Macaca mulatta: one gene and its partner. The protein of the gene in region 2 purifies or fractionates together with the protein of the main gene of each other region. This does not show direct contact. Links are inferred from orthologs where the notes say so. Each region holds a gene or a part of one and is shown on either strand. Other genes may lie near its edges.

Region 1 (4,232 bases), on a different chromosome or scaffold from region 2:
ATGCAGTTGAGACTTCACCAAATTAATAAAGTATTAGCGGAACTGCTATGAAGAACTGCTTGACAGGATGCTCAAAATTTCTGCTACTGGTGAGCCCACAAAACTCTAACCCAGCTACCTTGTAACAGAAAAGCTAACTTACCATGGTCAGCCCGCACAGTGAAGGAACCTCCAGCAGAAGACTCCCAAGCATACTGTTCATCATCGTTGTGCTTTGTGATCACAACCACTTTCTCTGCCACCAGGTAGGCAGAATAAAAGCCAACACCAAACTGTCCAATCATGGAGATGTCTGCACCAGCCTGCCAACAAGTTTTTGTAAAGTCAAACACAAAATTTAAAGCAGCAAAAAAAATAAAGAACACTGATGAATATGAATGGTGTATGCCTACAGAACTGCAGTACCTGAAGAGCCTCCATAAATGCTTTAGTACCAGACTTGGCAATGGTTCCCAAATTATTTATGAGATCAGCTTTGGTCATCCCAATGCCTGTGTCTACCAAAGTCAGGGTACGTTCCTGAGGGTTGGGGATGATGTCAATTTTCAGCTCTTTACCACTGTCCAACTTCGAAGGGTCTGTTAAGCTCTCATAGCGAATCTTGTCCAAGGCCTGAAACGAATACAAACAGCAACTTACTTTTGCTCTCTCCGAGACAGGCAATTGCTCTGTTGCCCAAGCTACAGTGCAGTAGTAGCAAGGATGACAGCTCACTGCAGCCTTGACCTCCCTGGTTCAAGCCATCCTCCACCCCAGCCTCCCAAGTAGCTGGGACTACAGGCACATGCCACTGTGCTCAACTAATATTTAATTTTTTGCAGAGACAAGGTCTGGCTGTTGCCCAGGTTGCCCTCGAAATCCTAGGCTCAAGTGATCCTCCTGCCTTGGCGTTACAGGTGTGAGTCAACACGCTCGGTCACTTTTGCTTTCTTAAAGCCCGTGTCTTCAAAGAAAATCTTGGTTTACCTCTCTCAGCCTCAAATCTGATTGCCCCTTATCTTGAGGCTTTAGAACTACAGTTAGTTACATGAGCCCACTTTTTCTGGACATAGTCACTTCCCTTTCAAGTTCAAGATGGCCAGAGAATAAGACAAATCTTTTTGGAATAGTTGCAAGTTTACCCCCTTCAATAGTAGTCCCCAACAAAGGCCAAACCACTCCTTTCCTCTCTACGAAGAGTGTCAAAAAAATAAACACACCAAATATAGAAACCACAGCACTTACATCAGAAGCATTAGAGATCAACTCCCGAAGGAAAATCTCCTTGTTGGAATAGAAGGTATTGATGATGAGGGACATGAGTTGGGCAATTTCTGCCTGAAAGGCAAAAGTCTCCACCTCCTCCTCTCCATGGTGCACTTCCTCAGGCATCTAAAATAAAAATGATCATTAATTACAAAACATGAAGGCCTCACATTTTAAAATCCTAAAGGTCATCTCATTTGTTAGGACCTTAAGAGTTGAGACTGGTTTGACCTGAGTACTATCCCTTCCGAAAAGACCGAAAAAGCATTCTCTTAAAAGATCTCAGGCTACACACTAAGTGGGAAGCCTGAAAATTCAGAAGGAAAAAGAAAATAAGCTGAATGTTCTTCAACCAAATGTCACAGAACCCAGCTACTTAGAGTGGTGACCAGCAGTCTCAGCGTCATCCGGTAGTATGGCAGAAACTCATAATGCTGGTCCAACCCAGGTATCCAGAGATCCCAGATAATCCTTACACAAATTTAAATGTGAAAATCGCTACCTACAGTTCTTCATTTGGAGATCAAAGTAACTAGTTTGGCACTAACTTTAAACTGCTCCCCCTGAGATGTCTTCCTAAGACCAGCCCAAGGGCGGGACACTCCTACCCTACACTGCAGGGAGGAATAACCTGGGATCCAGAGGATACCCGCCCGAGGGGCAATTAAATCCGGACAAAGAATCGATAAGCCAAAAGCTCCACTACGACCCCTTCACAGGACAAAATTACAGAACAGGCCCAAACCCAACAGAAGGAAGATGGTGGCCGTAACCACCAGGCCGACACTCGTCACTGCCGGACATGCGTCGGCAGGGACCACGCGAGGAGGGGGCGCCGCCGTGCACCCTCCTTCGCCCCAGCATCCGGGCACTGGGGCGGGGCGCCAGAATCCAGAAGCTTCCAGAACAATCTCAGCTCTAGAGGACGGGCGGAGGAGGGAGCCCATGAATCTTCCAGAACCTGCCCCCCTCCCCAACCCTCCTCCACCGGGACTGCAATAAAGATCTGGAAGGAGGGAGTATGGGGTGCTGGAGACCGAAAGCGCTCCTCCCACACCATGAACCCTCACAGAAACAAAGCACCCAAGGCGGCTTTAACAACGCGTCCGATAAGAGATGTGGCAAAGCCAGTCCCACAGGGCCGTGCTGAGTCACCCGAGCAGGCACCCCCGCCATCCTGCGGTCCCCCTCCGACGCCCTATAGCCGCGTCCGGAAGTGGAGGGGCAAAAATGGCAGCGTCCCGGGCCGCGCGGCCACCACGTGCAGCTGCCCGCCGCGCACTGCCCCAGCCCCACAGCCCACCTCGCTACGGCTAGGAGGAGCCAAGAGAAAGCCCCACCGCCCAAGCACACTAGAGAAAACCGAGGAAAACTCAAGAGCCCTCACCTACCACTACCCTCACCCTATAAAAATCCAGGGCGTTATCCACAAGCCACCCCGGTATCTAGGCTCCCTAAAGGACAGAAAAAAACAAGAGCAACACGAAAGAGCACTAAAGAAGCCTAACGAAGAATTCAGCCTTACCTTGAAAAGAAAAGGCTTACACGTATTAGAGAAGAACGTGGGCTTGCTTTCTGATGACTACCAGGCACAAAACGCTGCGCCGGAGTGACTAGAGAGAGCTACTGCGTGCCCCAAGTCTCCCTATATAAGGCGAAGCACAGAACAGCCGCCCTCCCGTGGATCCCTCCGCCTTAAAGGAGCATGCTTGTCAAGTCCGCACCTGCCGCCACCAGCCCACCTTGACGTCATGGTCCGAAAAAAGGAGGGGGCGGGGAAGAACCCAAGCAACGGATCCACCCACACGTTTGCTTGTGATCACAGCCCCATATCTTCATGTCTAGGACCTGACCCCATCAAGAGCTGGGATAAGGAGTGCTCATTTGGCATATACGGTGTCTCTACGGGCGAGGAATCCATTGACCTCCCTAAAAACCTGTGAGGCAGGAGTCCCCACACCCAAGGACAGAGCCCGGGGGAAACACCTAAAAAGAGCCGAGGCAGCTAACCACTCCGACCGCTGCTCCCATACCCAATCTTCTTCCTAGCATATGCCCTACACATTTCGCATCCCGACAGAGGGACTGGCATTCGGGACCCGACCTTGGTTAGCCCCAGATCCTGACTCTCCCAGGAGCAGAGGAAGGGCGGAGGGTTCGCAGTGTGGGGTATCTCAGCGTGGGGGGAGGGCGCCGGCCGGGGCCGGCGGGACTCTTTGCCGGCATGCGGCGGAAGGCGCGGCGGCGCTGCGGCTTTCCAGCAGTTTCCAGGCCTGTCTCGGCGGTCCCGCCCCCGCCCGCCCCCTCCCCGCGGGGCTCCGCCTCTCCGGCTGCGGCCAGAGCAGGGTTTTTGCAGCGACCCCACCCGGGGACCGGCTCTGACCTGTCGGAGACGACGCGAGTACTAGCCCAATCCTCAGGGATGGGATGGAGCGTTGGGGAGGGATCGGCTGACCCCTCCTTCCCCGCGTCAATCACACAACACCCAAGCACCTGGGGCGACTCTGCGGGCGTACCGTTTTGCACTCTGAGACTGGAGTCGCTACGGGAGGGACCCCCTCCAGCCCCTGCGGCCGCCACGTACACGGAGCACGGGGACATGCGCCCTCCCTACGCAGGCACGTCAAGCCCTTTCTCAAGCTGGTTCGCTTTTTTTCTCCCACTTCCCTCCTGCAGCTATTTGGACGTGGGAAGGAGGGAGTCTCTAGGAGCCACTGCAGGGCAACAGGAGCTCTTGGAGGCCGCGTGAAGACGCCGGCCAGAGAGCGGCTGGCCAAGTTGTTCCCCTTCAGCCTTGGCACCAGAACCCCTAGGCCATACTCCTGGTCAGTGAACTGCGGCCGCCGTCTCTGGCCTGTCTCCGCCCTTTTGCCTGCCCTCCAGTCGGCAAGCTGTCCTTGCCTTTCCAAGGCGTCATCCGAAAGCCTGCTGGACCCACAGCCCCTCCAGGAGAGAATAGCCGCTCCCTGCTCTGTGCCCTGTAGATG
Region 2 (2,918 bases):
ACCACCATGCCTGGCTATTTTTTGTATTTTTAGTAGAGACAGGGTTTCAGCATGTTGGCAGGCTGGTCTTGAACTCCTGATCTCAAGTGATCACCCACCTCAGTCTCCCAAAATGCTGGGATTACAGGCATGAGCCATTATGCCTGGCCCAGTAACGTTATGCAGTTGTGTTGCCTTAAGCCACCAAATATGTGGTAATTTGTTACAGGAGCAAGAGGAAACGAATACAGCCAGCAACTATTTTAGGACAGTTAGAAAACCTCAAGTATCGAACCCCACTTTTCTTTCCTTTCTTTCTTCTTCTTCTTCTTCTTTTTTTTTTTTTTTGAAATGTGGTCTCACTCTGTTGCTCAGGCTAGAGTGCAGTGGCATGATCATAGCTCACTGCAGCCTCGACCTCCTGGGCTCAAGAAATCCCCCGCCCCTCAGTCTCCCAAAGCACTGGTATTACAGGTGGGAGTCACTGCACCCAGTCTGAACCCCACTTGTCTTTGTACTTCTGGTCCCCAGGAGAGTCCGTCACACTTTCTGACTTGTCATACAGCAAGATGGCAAATAGATATTCAGGAATTGGAAGGACAAGAAAACCAACCTTTTGGTAAAGACTTTGGCATTTATATCTTTTATTTAAATATTCATTTCACTATTTTGAAAGTTTCCCTTCCAAATCACAGCTGTAACTAAAATCCAACCATTCCAGGAAATAGAAATATCAACTTGGGGGCTTCCTGAGAATGTCAGATTGTGGATTGCGAGAGTCAAAAAGAGATTTTCCAGTCCAACCCACTCACTGGACAGATGAGGAAACCGTGGCTGAAGCGAGGGTGGGTGTCTGGGAGTAGGGAGGGGGCGTGGGCCCTGGTGGATGGTGCTGGAGCCACCTTGCAGCCACCACCTGGGCACCCCCTGGCCCTACCCTGGTCCTCCCCATCATGGCTGCTGTTGGTACTGGCTCTCTGTGGCCGTGTAGAAGTCATCCAGCACACTCTGGATGTATTCGAAGGTCGGCCGCTCCTCCGGACGGTTCTTCCAGCAGCGCATCATGATGTTGTAAAGCTCCTCTGGGCAGTTCTCCGGGCGAGGCATCCGGTATCCACGCTCCAGAGCTCGGATCACTTCGGGGTTTGACATCCCTGAAAAGGAGCCGTGGAATTAAAAAAGGAAGCAGTTGGGAAATGAGAGCCCAGGGGTGGCAGGTCCTGTGGCCCCCCCCAGCAACCATCACTCCCCACCTCGCTCGCAAGCTGAGCCCCTCCCACTGTGAAAGCCAGAGACTTCCACCCTCAGCTTCACTTGCAGCTAGGTCATAGGCCGGGGACCCAGTTTGGGCCAATGGGAGCGGATGGGGAGGTCTGCTGGGAGAGTGCCAGGAAAGGTTTTCCTCCCGCTTAGAGGAGAGGCTTTGGAGAACGCACCCTTCCTTTGAACACTGTGAGATACTTATGATACTTGGAGCTGCAACAACCATCTGACAACATGGAGAAGACCATCACAGAGACAGGAACCCAGAGTCCTGACAGCTGCTGAACTGCTGAACTAACCAGTCACCCATGGCAGATGGGGAGTAATAGCTTGCTTCTGTTTCAGTTACTCTTTGTCTGTTATTTTGTTGCTTGCTGCGGAACACATCCTAATGGATTTAGCTTCTACTGTGTGTTGCCTAGTTTTAACTAGTGCACCCTCAAGACAAAACAGTCAGGTGGTCAGATTCAATGTCAACCTATGGATGGGACTATTTTCTTGTTCAATTTAAGTTTTTATTAGTTATTCATAAGAATAGCCATTCAATATCTGTGATCCCCAATTTTATATTATCAGTCTCAAACTCCAAACTCATGAACTGAAGTGCTTCCTTTACTTGGATGTCTCTATACTTAAGTCATCTCAAACTTAACAGAGCTAAAACAGAGCTCTTCAATTTCTGTCCCTAGACCATTACCCACCCTATGGTGCAAAGCCAGGGTAATCATCCCTGATTCTCTCTCTCTCACCTCCTAAGTCAGCAAGTCAAATCTTCTCTTCTTTTGAAACGTAGCAGCAGTTCATCAACGTATGCCAGTCACGAATGCCACCACCCTGTCCAGACCATCATCACCTCTGCCTGGACCACTGCTGTGGCCTCCTCAATGGCTGCCACCCTGTTCCCCTTCCCTCCCATTCACTCTCCACGCTGAACCAAAACATTGCTTAAAAATGGAAATCACCAGCCTGTCAACATAGCAACACCTTGTCTCTCAAAAAATTTAAAACATTAGCTGGGCATGGTAGTGTGTGTCTGTAATCTCAGCATTTTGGGAGGCCAAGGCTGGAGGATTGTTTGAGCCTGGAAATTAGAGACCAGGCTGCGCAATGTAGTGAGACCAAGTCTCTACAAAAAAATAAAAAATAGCCAAGCATGGTGGCACATGCCTCTGGTCCCAGATACTCAGGAGACTGAAGTGGGAGGATCACTTGAGCCTAGGAAGTCGAGGCTGCAGTGAGCTATGATCGCACCACTGCACTCCAGCCTCGGTGACAGAGTGACACCTTGTCAAAAAAAAAAAAAAAAAAAAAAAAGAAAGGTGGAGAAAGGACAAGATCTGATTCACAGTTTAGAATTATCCTGGCTGTATGTGGAGAATAGGCTGTAGGATGAGGAGGGAGAAAGCAGTAAGACTGATGAGGAGGCTGCTGCACCATCTATGGGAGACGACACTGGCCTGGATGTAGTGGAGACTGTGGGGTTCAAAGTGGTGAGACGTGGAATATGTTTTGGAGTTGAGTGGCCAAAATCTTGTGACTGCTCCATTGTCACAGGGGTGCGGACAGGCACGGTGGCTCACGTCTGTAATCCCAGCACTTTGGGAGGCCGAGACAGGAGGGTTACCTAAGGTCAGGAGTTCGAGACCAGCTTGGTCAACATGGTAAAACCTCATCTC

Evidence for each region. Proteins that work in one complex are often made in the same cells at the same time.
Region 1: the proteins of HCK (region 2) and HSP90AB1 purify together in Homo sapiens (affinity purification with mass spectrometry; 3 studies listed by BioGRID and IntAct, with this or other methods). This does not show direct contact. The link is inferred for Macaca mulatta from reciprocal best matches to the Homo sapiens genes HCK and HSP90AB1.

Annotation. Positions count from the first base shown.
Region 1 is NC_133409.1:137,866,821-137,871,052, forward strand, and holds the start of HSP90AB1 (heat shock protein HSP 90-beta), read right to left. Parts: upstream 2,871-4,232; 5' UTR 2,771-2,870; intron 1,372-2,770; coding exon 1,225-1,371; intron 613-1,224; coding exon 406-612; intron 303-405; coding exon 143-302; intron 1-142. UniProt on the Homo sapiens protein: Molecular chaperone that promotes the maturation, structural maintenance and proper regulation of specific target proteins involved for instance in cell cycle control and signal transduction. Undergoes a functional cycle linked to its ATPase activity.
Region 2 is NC_133415.1:84,924,109-84,927,026, reverse strand, and holds the end of HCK (HCK proto-oncogene, Src family tyrosine kinase), read right to left. Parts: intron 1,134-2,918; coding exon 931-1,133; 3' UTR 594-930; downstream 1-593. UniProt on the Homo sapiens protein: Non-receptor tyrosine-protein kinase found in hematopoietic cells that transmits signals from cell surface receptors and plays an important role in the regulation of innate immune responses, including neutrophil, monocyte, macrophage and mast cell functions, phagocytosis, cell survival and proliferation, cell adhesion and migration.